Lepisosteus oculatus: one gene and its partner. The protein of the gene in region 1 purifies or fractionates together with the protein of each later gene. This does not show direct contact. Links are inferred from orthologs where the notes say so. Each region holds a gene or a part of one and is shown on either strand. Other genes may lie near its edges. The genes, in order: dapk1 and ifi30a.

Evidence for each region.
Region 2: the proteins of dapk1 (region 1) and ifi30a purify together in Homo sapiens (affinity purification with mass spectrometry; 3 studies listed by BioGRID and IntAct, counting the BioPlex papers as one, with this or other methods). This does not show direct contact. The link is inferred for Lepisosteus oculatus from reciprocal best matches to the Homo sapiens genes DAPK1 and IFI30.

Annotation. Positions count from the first base shown.
Region 1 is NC_090698.1:22,675,417-22,683,150, reverse strand, and holds the start of dapk1 (death-associated protein kinase 1), read left to right. Parts: upstream 1-4,574; 5' UTR 4,575-4,826; intron 4,827-5,489; 5' UTR 5,490-5,600; coding exon 5,601-5,662; intron 5,663-7,734. UniProt on the Homo sapiens protein: Calcium/calmodulin-dependent serine/threonine kinase involved in multiple cellular signaling pathways that trigger cell survival, apoptosis, and autophagy.
Region 2 is NC_090724.1:3,634,690-3,642,793, reverse strand, and holds the start of ifi30a (gamma-interferon-inducible lysosomal thiol reductase), read right to left. Parts: upstream 3,260-8,104; 5' UTR 3,204-3,259; coding exon 3,078-3,203; intron 824-3,077; coding exon 647-823; intron 1-646. UniProt on the Homo sapiens protein: Lysosomal thiol reductase that can reduce protein disulfide bonds. May facilitate the complete unfolding of proteins destined for lysosomal degradation. Plays an important role in antigen processing.

The DNA of each region.
Region 1 (7,734 bases):
TGCCGCCAGTAGAGGCTAGCTAGGTAACTGGCCCTGGTCTGATCAAGGGCTACTTATTCGCTTAACTGTAAATTAGAAATCCCCAGAGGTAAACAGTAGCTAATTTAACCATGTGCTTCACTTAAGCAGACAGAATATAAGGAAAGTGAGGATTTGAGAATGAGTTGGTAAGAAAGAGAAAAGCAGAGAACAGAAGACAAGAGTAAGCAACCATCCGCCGTTACCAATCAGTTTCTCCTTGAATAACTGAACCCCAGGGTATAAGGAGCTTTGAAGAGACTTCTACAACATTTAGGGAAATGTCTTCTTTTCTTATTTCTTATTTAAATTTCCTTCTGTAAGTTTGTCATACACATTTTGAAACATTGGATTAATGTGATGCATTATTGTTTGTGACTGAAGTTTTATCTCTTTATACTAGCATTGGTTTAGTTCTTGATATATAGACCCCCCACCCCACACCCCCACTGCCTGTCACCCCTTTTATCTACCATGCCCTTTAAAAAATGCTTGATATCCATTATTTTTTAATTATCCCTGTTATTCTCCTCCCTAGCCATTTTGTAGTTATTTCTTTAATATCACAACTAATGCTGTAAGATCTTGCATTTTATTCCTTATGCATGTGATATAAGCATTTATATATGAAATACAAAAGATTAATGAATTACTTGATGTCTTATTGGTTTTGAGATTTTTTAAAAACAAAAAACAACCCTGAGTTTATATGATTCTACCAAATCTGGCCTGTTCTAAAGATTCCTTCCCATAGTTCCCTAGTTGAAATAAATTGTCCTCAACTGAGTCTTACCTGCAATCACAAAACTATCTATTTGAAAAAACAAACAAACATGAATGACTTTTAATTTTCACAAAACTGTGTTTGAGGGTAGAACTGAAAGTTTGAATTGTTATCAAAACCTTACAATTTTATGAGCATTCTTCTTATGTATTGTTTTCGAAGGGTGAAAATGTTTAGTAACATGATTACCTTCTTGATACATTCCACAGTAAACTCAGGTTGAAGTTACTTCCTTATATTAAAGTTACTGATTTCCTTGTATTAACCTTGTCCTGCTTTCTGTTTGTTCATAGAAAAACATTTCTACAAAACGCACATGGCAAAAGAAAAGAACTCAACATTTCTTTAGTTTATACTGTTGCTAATACAGGCTGTAGAATAATTGAGGTAACTGTGATAAAAATACAAAATGCTTTTGATTTTAAAATGTTGTATGAAGTGCATTACTATGCTAAATATCTAAAGCCCTTCTGTTAATTGGAGAATATATTAAAATTCTGATCTGTTTGATCAGATGGGTAAATGATTTACAAAATCCTCCTCTGACCACCTTCTCAAACCCTGATTTAGTGCCCACATACTGTATCTGATTAATGCTGTTTAACTTGTATAAATTAAGCTTCATTTGATTAAGGATTTAATTAAGAATACAAATCACATTAAAATACCCATGTTTTGTGAATTGACTATAACTAAAATAGTCACAGAGACAAAAAAAACCCACTTTGGAATCATCTTTATCAACATTAGCCTTGTGCACAGCTGACATGACAAGAGCAAACAAAGAACTACAGTGTGCCAGCAGAAAAATAAATAGCAAATCAAGAATGCAGGTTATGCTGGGATACAAATTCAGGAAGCAGTTTGACTGGACAGAAATAACAAGAAGAAAATGAACTGAACTAAGAAGAACGACACTAACAACTACAGCCTTTCAGAGTAATGATGTAATGACATGGATATTACATGAGTTTGAACCCCTTTACAAGACGGTGATGTAATATTTACCAGTGTAATCCGGAAATATTACTTTTGACAGCGGTTTAAATTTCCCTGCACATTTCTCATAGACCAGCTCTTCAGCACACAAAATAAAAAAATGTATCATTATCATGTGAGCTTACTGAGAATATTACGAACCCTTCTCACAGTAGTAGTTAAAATATGCACCACATCAGAATGTGGCAAACAGTACTTAATTGGGGGAAAAATCCTTTCTTTCTAAGATCTAAAAATGGGTCACATTTAATTTAATTCTTTTTTATGTTTTTGAATAAAACAACCTTAAGAAAAACCCAATGCCAAATGCCAAGTAAAAAAAAGAGAGAAAAATAGTTTATTCGTAGTTCTTGCATTGTTATGGTATATAGCTTTTGCTTGAAACATTATTTGAGAATATTAGTGAATGTATCAGCTACTGCAAATTTAAATCAATTGATATGTCCTTTTAAACAAGCTTTTTACTGGTGCTTTCTAGCTACCTTTGGTTTCCCATAACTTGTGCATAGCTGGACAACCCTTCCATTTCAGAATTCAAACTAGGGCTAATGGAGACATGCAAAACAACTATTTAGGAAGATTAAAAATGTGAAATTAGAGATACATGATATACAGATTCATAATAAATGTGAATGGCAGAATCCGCAGCATTAAGTAAAACATCAATCATCATCATCCTATAGCCCAGAAAAAAAAAGATTGCAAATGCTTTAAAAAATATTTTTTGAAGTATTTTTAAAAATACTATGCAGAACGACCAAATGAAACGAACGACCATGATCATATGAAATAAAACCCAGTCATACAAATGCTGGATGATATGCTGGTGGCTGGACTGAATTGATGTGTACAGCTTGGATTGGGCAGTCACTTGTTGGGGCCAGCATTTTCCAACCTCAAGATGAAGTCTATGAATGACAGGCCACAATCGGGGGGACCACGAGTCATGCCACCTCATCAATAGCTATTACCTATGAAGTCCAAGTGTGAAGGTCTGGGCAGGACTGTCTAGTTGAACTCCTTTTACAGTGATTGGTGGCAACCTGACCACACATCCCTACATTGATCAAGTCTCACTTGTTGTCCTTCCTACAGTCTCATCCTCACATGGCAACATTCCAACAGCATAGAGCACATTCCCATGATGCTTGTGTTACACAGCTTTCTTGAAAGTTGAGACTACAGACTTCACCCCCATTGAACATGAGCAGTGAGATGAGCTGGGATTACATGTGGTACCTAGAGATTATAGAGCACTGAATGGGCACATACTTGTCTAGGTTCAATGAGAGGAAAGGAACAGAATCCCTCAAGACAGCATCTGCAACCAGTTGCAAAGGATTTGTCACAGATGTACAACTTGTATTGTTTCCAGTTGTAGGCCACACACGACTACTTTGTAAACTAGCCTAGTAGACAGCAGATCTCCTACTGATGACAAATGATAATAAGTACAGTATAATGTATTTAGCTGTGTCATTAAGTTCAAGTAGGTAACTGCATCAGCATGTGTAGGCTGCAAAGGATTTATTACACGCTGAAAAGAAAAGAGACTCAATGTTTATTTTCAGCAGTGGAATAAACCTTTACTAGTTCCTTTACTTTTGTCATGTCTGTTATAAAAAGGTCAGTACACCAGGTATAAAACTGACATCCTCTCTTGTCCTGTGACGCCTGCAATATAAAGTTTTAGTTCTGTTTTCAGAAAAAAAATCTTGTCAGACCTGTTTTAGTTCCTCTCTAACTGTAAGAATTATTTTCTTATCTTCCTTGTTGACTTATTTTTGGACACGTTTTGCAGTTTTGCCTGTTGTTTTGCATGTCTCTTAACTGGAGACTAAAAAAAGGATTCTGTTTGCATTACTTTATTTTCCGAGAGAACTGGTTTTTACTTTCTATTCTTCCTTGCCTATAGTATTGGTATTTATATTTTGTCTTTTCCCTGCAGATTCAAAAGTAGGAAAAGGACTTTTGAGTTTAAAAAAATCAAAGCCACTTATCATACTAATTTGTTGTAGGTTATTTTGATGAAGATATTATTAGCAATTTCTGGTGGTCAGCTTTGGAAGTTAATATGCCTGGACAGTTCTTGCCTCTTCATTTAATTTGAGTTTCAGTTCTGGAAATATCAGAGATTTTATTTTGTTTATAAAAATTCATAAGTAACTGATAAGTAATAAGATCTTAAAAGAAATTGTAGAAAACTTTAATTATAATGTAACAGTATGTCAAATCAGCAATATGCTGTAACACACATCAGGGAACTCAGTCAACACAAAAATTCAATAACAACAAAAAACATGTTTTTCAGGTTTGGTTTTGCTGAGGATACGTCACACACGAATGACTTACATAAACTGGTCGGTATGTCTTTCTCCTTTTTTAACCTGTTAATGCAGTGCCTAAAGGAAACTAGGAACAAAATCACCGACCTTTACAAAAACCTCCAGCATTTCTAAGAGGAACTGTGTTAATCTCATTATTCACACAAAATATGAATGTTGAAATATAGAATGTAACAAGTTAATGAATACGGAAATTCAAATTCATATCCAAACTTTTTATTAAAGCCCTCTGTCAAATTTTGAGACCTAAAGTGCGATAAGCCAGTGCATGAAAGGAAAGATGTGTTTATTATATGTCCAGACACCCGAGGGATTCATCTTTCCCTTTCATGCACTGGCTTATCGCACTTTAGGTCTCAAAATTTGACAGAGGGCTTTAATAAAAAGTCAGGGTCGTTTCTTGGCGTTAATACTACAGCTCTCTCATTGGTTAGGCGAGTGTGTATTTCTCCTGGGTTACCGCACTATGCTGCCTCCTTGAGACCGAAACACACCAGTACTGTGTGTAACACATAGAACACACGCAGCGAACGCCACAGTATTAATACAGACATTGTTACAGTCCTCCCATTTCCTGCAACATTCCTTTTTAATGTCTTCTTAGGAAAACGCGCATTTTGCAACCCTTGTTTCCGGGGAACACCAGCTACCTGGAAATTGACGGCAGTTTGGATTCAAAGGTACTTCTTTTTTGTCTTTATCCGGTGCTGGATTTTCAGATGTATTTGTCCGCAGTTCCTGGACATAAAGAGAAGAAATAAGGCCGTAGCCGAGTTCTTCAATTGAAATTGCTGAATGCACGAGGTGTGTACACACAAATGCATATACATTTTCATGACGTTACCGATGTTTCCGATGATTGTGTATGAGGTTTAATCACCTGGTTCCCCCTTGTGTATTCGGGAGATTTTGTAGAGAACGAACAATTCGTTTGTGTTTCGCTAGGGATGTGAGTACCCTGCTCCTCTCCAAGGTCTGCTCTCCAAGCAACCGCAAAGCTTTTAATGAGGAATTTATGTAGCTTCCTGGTCGGGGTTACACGATGTCTTTCCGAAAGGTGGACGTTTGAGACATCGGTACTGGATGGAAAGAGTAAATATAATTCAGAAAAAAAATCTAACAACGGGGGGAGTAGAAGTGTAAAAGGCGATTGAGTCTACCTTCACAGTTTTTAGTGGGCTGCAGAAACTGCTGTTTTAGAAAATAAAACCCGCTTCTAATAGAATGTATTAAGTTGCTCGAGTAGTTCATTAAAAATCACGTCTGTCTTCCGTTTGTACAAATTCCCTGTACCACCTGTGAGAAGAGGTTGAAATATTGTAAACCAATTCTTATTCTCCTAGACCCAGTATGAGTGGGGGTCGGTTTGAAATGTCAAGAGGCTGATAAGAGATGGGCTGCTGAAATCGCTGGGTGCTGATTTGGGAATCCCAGGATCAGAAGTGGCTACCACCATGACCACCTTTAAGCAGGAAAATGTTGAAGATTATTATGAAATCGGAGAAGAGCTTGGAAGGTAAGCAAAAAGAGTGTCGCTTAATTTATTTGCTATTTTATCCTCTGGCAAGTTTAACTGAAGTAATGAAGAACCATTGTGGCATGGCATGTGTTGTTATAAATACATATTTCACCAGTTTAGATAAACCTTAAAGCAGATGAAAATTGTAAGGTATACTCTGAGATGTACTGCATAGAAAATGAAATGTAAATTGATTTTATTTCCGGGGATAAATGCTTTACAAATGGCCTGTTGCATTGCACGGATAGTAGGCAATGACGCTGAACAAAAAGACTGAAAGTAAAGAGACAGTTTGTGTTTAGATATTGATTTGCCTTTTCAGTTCAATTTCCTTTTGAGAAGACTCTGTAAAAGAGGGATTTAATAACTGCCTCACAGGCGCTGCAAGTTCAGTAGTTCCTCTTTTTGAGAAAGCTTGAAGGAAATACTGTATTTTCCCCACTCAGTGACATCTTGATCTTCATTCATTAAATCATCTAAGTATATTAATTGGAAATGAAATAATAGATGAATGTGAATTTACAATCCTTCTGTGTTAAAATCTAGATATATGTGCCATGTATATTCAGGTTCCTGTTTTTACTCCGTATACTATGTACATGCGTTAATAAACATTGAAACATAAGATGGAGTTCGTGACTCTAAAAAACTCCACTGGCCAGCTAGTGCTACTTGTGCATAATGTAAAATGTTGGTTATTCCTTGTTAGATTATCAAAACAGTTGAACTTTCTTTAAATAAATGGATATTAAAAGGACTGGTAATCAAAGGATGAATGTTGCTGTCATAAAGAGGTGTTTAATACATTACCTTCATTTTTTTCTGTTATGGGGAACCATTTGAATGACTGTGGTATACATATGTAAGAGTTGTTTTTTATTCTGGATTTGTGCAAATGAACTTTTTCAGTAGTAAAAAATCTGGGAATGTGCGTACTGAACTTTTATGTTGGTGAAAATAATAGATCCTGCACATTTAATATGTTGTTATTTGTTCAGGAGTATAAGCAGATTTCAAATTGCTTATACTGTTCACTACAGTTTGTTTCACTATATCTGTGCACCAATATGGATGGATTGTTATTAATTTTAGATTGTAAAAATATGTTTCTATGCTGCTTAGTATGTATCAACACTCCCCATAACACTTTTATTGTTAAACAAATTGACTAATCAGTATTATTACAAAATGGTTGCTTTGTGATAATGTGTTTTTGTTTTTTTTTTCCTTTAAAAGGGAAAAACGTAACAACTCCAGCATATTCACCTGCTGTGTTGCATCAGAGGTAGAATGCTAAAGGGAAACAAATCTTATTTATACAACAACCCTTATGAAACCAGTTAAAATTTCAGTGTACTAGGGTAAATACCAATGTTATTTGACAATTTTTATGGGCTCTTCTCATCTACTCCATTGACCACTATGCAAAGGGAACACAGTTTGTCTAAAGCAGTATCAGATTACGGATTGAAAAGAACAGAGCTAAAAGAGGCTATTTGTGTTGAATGCAAGTGCAACAGCTTATAGTTTAACTGTGGGTTCACTTATAAATTTGTGACTGACATATTATTACTTTTCATGTCATGGTTACAGACAGTCCATGTTATTTCACCACCTGTCTTCCCATTCTTTCATTGCTATTTTTAAAATGTGTGTAGGTGTACTGCTTAATGGAGTTTACACTAAAGAAGAGCATCTGCACCAGCTGAAATGTTAATATTCAGTTATTCCAAGAAGAAATCTTTCTTCTTACCTCTCAGTTTTGTTTGGCTTCATTCAGTACCAGCATTTCTAATAAATATTAGAAAGGTTCAGCTATGGGCGATAAAGGTCGTGATAGCAAAGGCATTTTTTTTCAGTCTGCTGGTCCATGGTGGTTCCTATTGAGAAGTATTGGAACTGATTGTTGCTCATCTGGATTTTTGAAAGCTAACGATTCCAGAACTTGACCTAGCCTGTTCATGGAAGATTCCAAAGATTACATTCAATTTGTCTTTTGATATAGGCTGCTGTAGAAAGAAAAAAGTAAATTATTATTATTACTCACATAATCTGTCCATTTAACATTG
Region 2 (8,104 bases), on another chromosome or scaffold:
TGAATATTTGATTATATTCACAGAGCTGCTCTAACCTGTCCTGGTGATATCAACCCTGCACTGTAAATGCCAGGAGTTTTTTTTTTACCCTTAATTCAGTCGAGAGCTCAAGTGCTGCCATTTCATTAGATGCAATTTGTGTGTGGCTGCTGGATCCTCCAGTTCCAGACATGGCACACAATTTACAATACTAAGAAAAACCGTTCCAAGTTTGCTAGTTAAGTCCTTTACTGAAGACTCTGTAAATGAAGGGGCTTAGAAATGTGAGGGATCATCAATGACATCTTCCTGCTTGTCTATAAAGCAGAAAATCTGAATGCTATCACGTGAGATTAGCTATCATAGGATGCTGTTACCGATTTTTTTTTTTTCTCTCATCGAGTTAAATCTTGTGACATTCTTTTCATGCAGATAATCTCAAATTGTGCCTTTCATCAAGCCAAGGATCAAGATAGTTAATAATTCTCATCCTGAGATAACAATGGTCATATAGCAATGATTTATAACACAGAGCCTGAGCATTTCTGATCAACGGCACCTGGACAATAAAAAAAACACTTGACTATTTAGATATACCATCAGGCAATTTTAATAGAAGCAACCAAAAACTCAGGATAACCAAAACGCGTTTTTAAGTCGCGTCTACCTGAGCATTTCCGTAAGGCACCAGCGTCACGTTCATGATGTCGTGAAGCATCGACCAGGTGGGGAAAAGCATCTCCACCAGGAATTCCCGGCATCCGCCACACAGGCTCTCGTAGTACAGGGCCACCTCCACATTGGGGGCAGCTGTGCCAGCGTACTCCAGACACTGCTTTTCCACCTGCGGAGACCAAAAACGGCATTGCATCTTTCACGCCAGGCATGGCTCTTGGGGTTGTATTTTCAGCTTGGTTTCCATGGTCTCCGTCTTGGGTCTGTTACGCTTGGTTCCCAATAAATTAACCTAATCATTTCTACACCTAGAAGTATATTGGATTTCCCCCCCCAGAAGATTTTCAGAGAATCAGTTTCATTAAAGGTACAGTTACCCGTGACACCACAGAGCCTGGTGAGATCGCAGTTAATCGCAGGTAATTGAATAGGTTGACCAACTTTTGAGATTTTATTCTTTAGAACTTCGTCTTAGAGGTCGAAACAGTGGTGCAGTGCTTCGAGTTTCTGCTTCGCCAGTGCTGGGGCCCTGGGTTCAATTCCAGACTTGGGGTGCTATCTGTGTGGAGATTGCATGTTCTTCCTGTAATTTGTGTGGGTTTTTCCTCATAGTCCTAGATCATATTGGTAGATTAATTAGCTTCTGGAAATACCCAAGGTTCGAGTGTCTGTGTCTGCCCTGTGACGGACTGGTGACCTGTCCAGGCTGTACCCTAACTTGTGTACATTGCTTGCCAATATAGGCTCCAGATCCCCTGGAACTCTGAATTGAGCTTTGGTTCAGAAAGAAGTGGTGAGAGAATGGATGGGTGGTGAGAGTCCAATTTAACCCTACTTTATGGACTGTAAAAAGCCAAGTTAAAGAGATCTGGCAAATCTACACTGTGGCCCTTGGTGACTAAAATAGATACTTTATTGATCTCGTGAGTGAAATTGCAGAAAAATAGTTTTACTTGAACAGCAGCTCAAGAAGGGATAACGTTAGCTGCTGAGGCTCAGCAGTAATGTTAGACATGCTTTAGAGGAAACTCCACAGCAATGCCAGATTACTGCAGGTATCTGGATCGTTTATAGCTCTGCTTTCCTGTTAAATACACCCTGAAAGAGAGGCTATGGTAAAAACATGACTTTAAGCGGTTTGGGATATCAGGGAAAAACAGAGCACACTTCTAAATTCTTTCCTTCATGCTGTAAATTCTACATTTCTACAGTTGATTTCTATAGCCTGTAAGTATCACTATGATGTATTTGTAATGCATGACTCTTGTATTCAGTTTGGGACAAAACTCCTGCACACAGGGAGATAAAAGCAAGTCCCACCCACATCGAGAGGAACTGATGCACAATCTGTGCATCTATGATTAATGGATAGCTATACTTTTACAAGTAATGTAATGCAAAATCACCAATAAAAAAAGTTCATCAACATCACGATTATTAGTCATTCGGTATATTCCCTTTACTAGCTCACTATAAAGTATTTAAAAAGAGTAACAAACACGCTATTCATTGTTTTCGTTGCCAAACATGTTTGCAGATGGTTCTATCAAAACCTTTTATCCACAAACAGGAGGTTAAATCTGGGTATAACGATTGTTCTTAATGCGGCAGTTAGAGGATACACTCACATTTAAAAGCAATTCTGAAAAGATGAAACTGTACCCTTTAGTGATGTTTGACGGCCGGGGAGAATATAATCGTATTGCTTTCCGAAAACTTCACAATACCCCAGTTCCGTCACTCGCCGGGACTTCAGTAACTTAGCAGAAGCGAGTGTTATTATTTTGAATAAAGTAACAACCGGCAAGGCAGAAACATTGTTATTCAAAACCAGACTGCCTTCCTAAATTAGAGATTTCAGTTTTGGAATCGATGGAAAAGGTCCCAGAGGGAACGAAGGGGAATTTCAGCGTCACTGCAGTCAGAAAGCCAATTCGATAACTTTAAATAAATCAGAGAGGGATTTTCTTCAGTGTCATTTTTACTGACATTAACGCCCACGCAAACACGTCGGTTTTCAAAGGGAAACTAACACGCTCCAACTGTATCGAGACAGTGGGCTCTATACTGTACTGTTCTCTAACCCTTTTTTCTGAAGGTTATAAAATCTCCACAGAAGATGTCGAATGTCTGTGGAGTGACTGAGAAAAAGCATACAATGCATTCAATAAACCGTGGCGTGTTTCTAGCTAACTTTCGTTTTTTTTTCCTTTAGCAAGAGCAACAGCAATGCGAATACAACCCGTCGCTCTGCACAAACTTATGAATGATAAAATCGTTAAAATATAAAAAAAAAATCATTGCAAAAGCCGGTACAGCAGCAAAAAAAGGGATTTTTTTTGCAACCCTCTGTACAACCGTGCGGCTTATCGTGAGACACCGGTATGAGTGGGATGTAGTCGCCCGTGAAAACTTAAACTTACCCCACACTCCAAGGCGATCTGCCGAGTCTTACACCACTCCGACGGGGGGTACCTGCAGGGCGGTCTGGAGTAACTAATCTCCACCGCGCACAAGGCGAAAACAGCTAGTACCAAATGGTTGTTCATTTTTGCACCCTCTCACGGAAACAAATCAAACGACAATACCTTAGCCCTTATGTAGACGCTTATAAAAGGAGACAACAGTAACACCTCCCCCTTTTTTTAGTAACTCCTCCCTCCATCGCTTCCTGTCTGATAATACCTCGTGACTGTTCTCATGACAGCCCTGTCGTCCTCCTGAAAATCCAGGTTAACGGTTAACTGCGCCGTCAATTTGAAGTACATGCTCAGCTCGGTAAAAATGAGTGTCTATGCAGAAAAAAGGTGCATAAACAAGTGAATGAACTTCAAGCTGGCTATTGTCAGTGAATCTATACTTGTGGGGTGGGGGAGGACACGCAATCACGAGTGAAGCATGTGAAATGAAGACGCGCAAACCTGTTGGACAAGGACTGGAATAACCTTGAGCTGTGCCGAGTTTCGGTCTCTCACGGGACGTTACAATATATAGTGGTACTGATGCTGAAAAGCACCACGGTCCTCAGGTCTAATGGAACTAACCAGAATATTTTAAACACAGAGGTCCAACAAAAATGCAAATACATCAGGAGACATTTTTTAGGTTTAAGTATGATTTAATGTGAAAATGAACGTGAAAAGTTACTGAGCATTAACAATCCTGGCAGTGCAGACGCTCGGTCCCGATCAGCCTCTGGACAGACTGCTGTGGGCTGCCACAGCCGGCTGGTGGAAGATTGCCCGGTTGTGGAAAAGTTGGAAGAAAAAGCTGACCATGGTAAAAATGGTGTAAAAAAGTGGTTTTCATCCATACATTGCACCTTTGAAATACTGGTTATAAGTGGTCTTGCATTGTCCTGCTGCAAAATGGACAGTTATTTTGTCGATGTGGAGGATAATTCTCCTTTGAGGTTCAAGAAAGTTCAATGCAGATGAAAAACACTACTGTGATGTTCCTGGGCTGAAGAGCAGATATTCTTGGATTAGTGAGATGACCTTCCAGGATGTAACCTGTTGCACATGGAGACAGGTTTCTGGGTTCCAGGGTTCACTGGACTGTTCTGCTGATTCTTGAAGAAGAACATGTCATTCTCTGAGCAGCTGCCCTTACAGACCTTTGATCACGCACATAGCAACCAGGCGATCTTGAAGAAACAGACAAGGCATAACCATGAGTTTCACTACTATTCTACTAATACAAAGCCTATATGTTTTTTCCCAACTACTAATTTTGGCAACTTTTCCTGAACTGAAATACCAAAGGCTGAGAACCTTGTTTTTCTGAAATCGCATTACTTGATCTCTTATTTTGTTATCCCAAAGAACATCCATCTATTTATATCCACTTTATCCAATAGAGGGTTATGGGTATTTGCATATTCCAGCAAGCAAATTAAACAAACACACCTATTTAAAATATGAATAACATTATGGAAGGACATATGGAGAAGATGTCAGCATACAACATGGGCCGTTGCATTTTCATTGTGCATAAAATGTGAGAGTTTTGGTCATTTCCTGTCACTAATCGATTTTGTTTTGTTCGCAGATCTTGTAGTCTATTCTGTTCCTGAGAGATTGTGAATGTTATCCAACTGATCACACTGTCTTGCCCCTTGTGAAAACACTGTTGTGAATCCTTCTCTGAGGTAGATTTGGAGGGGATTTTACATGTTCTAAAAAAATTTTCCAGGAAATTGGCTTCTGTTCAGAAACCAAACAGAGCAGTTCCTTGTCAACCAATTTCTTTTGTTTAAGGAGTTTGTTTTAAGCATTATCAATTCAAAAGTGACGTGTTGATGCATAGCTGTTTGTTATTTTTGCTAAAAAGAGCTTTTAGTGTCCAGAAGCATGCAAAGAGCTCCCAAGCTCTAGTATGCATGACAGAAGTGAGTGGATTACAGGTATAGACAGCTGGTATAGACTGATGTCAGTGTTTGATCTGGAGCGTCTTGGAGACACATTAGCTCTTAGATTTAAAAAACAAAACTGATGTGAAATACAAGCTGTATGATTCCGCATGATATCATTTTCTAAGAAAATGAGCCAATGAATCCCAGGCCTGAGGCAGATTGTGCAGGCCATGCCTTTTGAGTCAGCAGTGCTCAACCTAGACCCTAAAGGAGAAAAAGTTGGGAGGCCTGAGGACCTCATGTTTACGTAGCTAGTCTCCAAATCCAAGCATCTTGGTGTAATAAATTCAAGACCAAGAGCTGGCAATAACCTATTCCGCATACTAACGGCACTCAGTGTGCCAAACCAAATCTGCTTCTGGGTATCAACTCTAAATGTTTGTACATTTCAGATTTTCTCCACCCCAGTTTCAGTTAACGTCTGGAGACAACACAGAAAAGGGGGTACACATTGTGAGTACATTTCTTAGCTTATTCCTTTCCATACACAGTATCTACTACAAAGGTTTCAAATCAAAACCATTTTACCAAATAGTGGTCTAAATGCTGTGACTAAGTAGAAGCCAAACTGTATTGCCTGTTTCATTTCATGTTTATTCAGTGAAATTTATTTAAACATCATTCATAGATTCGTTCATAACATTACAACCTCTTTCAGGCATGTCAGCAAAAGAAGTCTACTTGTCAACAGATTCCCTATTTCCTTTGATGTGGTGCTTTGTCCATTCAGAAAATTCCCTGTAAATGAAGATCCAATCACTGTTGCATAAATCATCTGTTTCTAGGGAAATGAACTCCACTGGTGATTAATTTCATTGTACTGTGAAATCAGAAAAACAGCCCACAGTTTATCTACGCCATCTGCTTTTGGTGAAAACCCCCTAAATTCTGTAAGGAAATATGTCATGACAGATTGAGGAAATAGACAACAATTAGAAATTTGTTTACGAATGAATAACGTGTCTTTTGAGTTCTACCAACTAGTTTCTTCTGCTTTATTCAGACTTCAGTTTTGTCCGGCACAATAGTCTTGCTGAGCCTTCATCTAATTAGAAATTCAATATTTGTTTAGCAAAGGCTGATGTAATTTTTTTCTAAGCTTTTTGAATTGAACTTTCAGACTCATTTCAGAATATCAGGATCATGAATTAGGATATTCATTCTCTTTCCTAGTGTCTCCCAGTTAATGGAACAGATACATATGTCTTTGCAAACATGGCAAATGTTACAAATATACAGTGAACAAAATGTCCGTAATAACGTCAGTAAGTTTTAAAGAAAGCTGCAGCCATAATTGACAATTATAAAGCAATAAAATGTTATAGTATATTTTTATCTCATTGTAAAACTAGAAACCAATGCAAAAAGGACAAAATGTGTGATTTTTTTTTTCCCCTCCTTTTTGCATTGTGGGGGAGTGGATAGGACTCAAGTCCAAGGTGCTAAGATTGCAGTTTTAGCCTTATGTCAAGTAACATGGGTAAAATACCCTGTTGTGCAAATAAATTGAAACAGATTAAAAAATGCCTGTGTAATGCCTGAAATGTAACAGTTGATTCAATAAAATAAACTGATCTAAAATATTAAATATTCATTTAACTTTAATGTACAAAGGCTCATCGAATTGTAAGACTTTACTTCCAAGTCCAGCAGTCTCGTGCAAACAGGTCCAACTTAAAGCCCACTCAATACAGGAAGAGCAGGTGAAAGATATGAAAAGGCTGGAAGGTGGATAGTTTGAGAAGTCTGTACAACAATCCAAGCATGTTTTGCAGAATATGAGATCATTTCTGATCTGAAAAACAATAAATCATACTTGATCGTGAAGAATATTACCAGCCGCTGGCAAAAGTGCAAATGTTTCTAAAAAAACCACAAAAATAAGATAACGCAGTGATAAGGCTTGTCAGGTCGGTAAGTGGTAAGTAGGTGTTTGACACTTCTCCTTTTAAATAGAGCTGTTTCCACTACAACGACCAATGTTCGCCTCAACATGAATGGGAGAGGCCAGCAGTACAAAGTGTACTGACTGCACCACGGTTTCAGTGATTGTAAAATAACTGTATTCCAGTTTAATCTGCCATATTTTTTCATACAAAGTCAAGTGGACTTTTTTCAGAATTCCAAAGCACAAAACACAAGGGGAGGCTATGAGGAAGCGTGTTTCTCCACAGAGGGTTGTGGGAATGAGGAACACTACCCAGCCATGTTGTCAAAGCTGGTGCGCTGGCTTCTGTTGGAAGGCTGGGTGAAATGTTGGGATCATCCAGCTGGTAATAAATGAACACTCTAAATGGGACAGCTGTGCCCCTTTTGTAACCTCTCTTATTGCAGAAAAGGACATTCTGCAGACCTCGGTTTTACATCTCATCCCAACGAAGGCTAATTTTTTACAGTCTAGGGTCCCCATCACTGTTCAGGGGGGTTTACCACACAGACTGCAGGGTGAGCGCCCCCTTACTGACCCCTCTTCCAGCAGCTCCTGGAGGCCACCCATCCAGGTACTGGCCAGGCTCACACCTGCTGAGCTTCAGTGGGCAGCCAGCTGTGAGTTGCAGGGTGATACAGCTGCGGCATCGGAGTATCTTGTATTCTGATGGATGGTCTTGTGGTTCCACAAGTAGTGTAGTGGGCACCCACTTCTTATGACTATATCTAATCAAGTGGTACTGTATTATTATATCGTACATGCTTTTCAATTCATTTGCATCTGATAAATGCCTATTCATAAAGAGAAGTAGTTGTATTTACATCAGATCAAGTAGTAGGAATCGCTTCCCTTCAGCAAACAGTGCTCTTTAAACGCAGATTAATTTTGCACACTGTACTTATGCAACATTAAAGGTTTCATGAGTCAGTGCACTGTGACGGTGCTAGATTTATTTCCCCTGCCATCTGCTTCTGCACATTTAGACCCTCTCACTTCTCATTAGGAGTCACCAAGAGACTGAAATAACAGCTTTGATCAGTGCTGATAAAAAAAAAACAAGCACACAAGAAAGACAAGGTTGTTTAGAGGACATTCAGAGCCATATT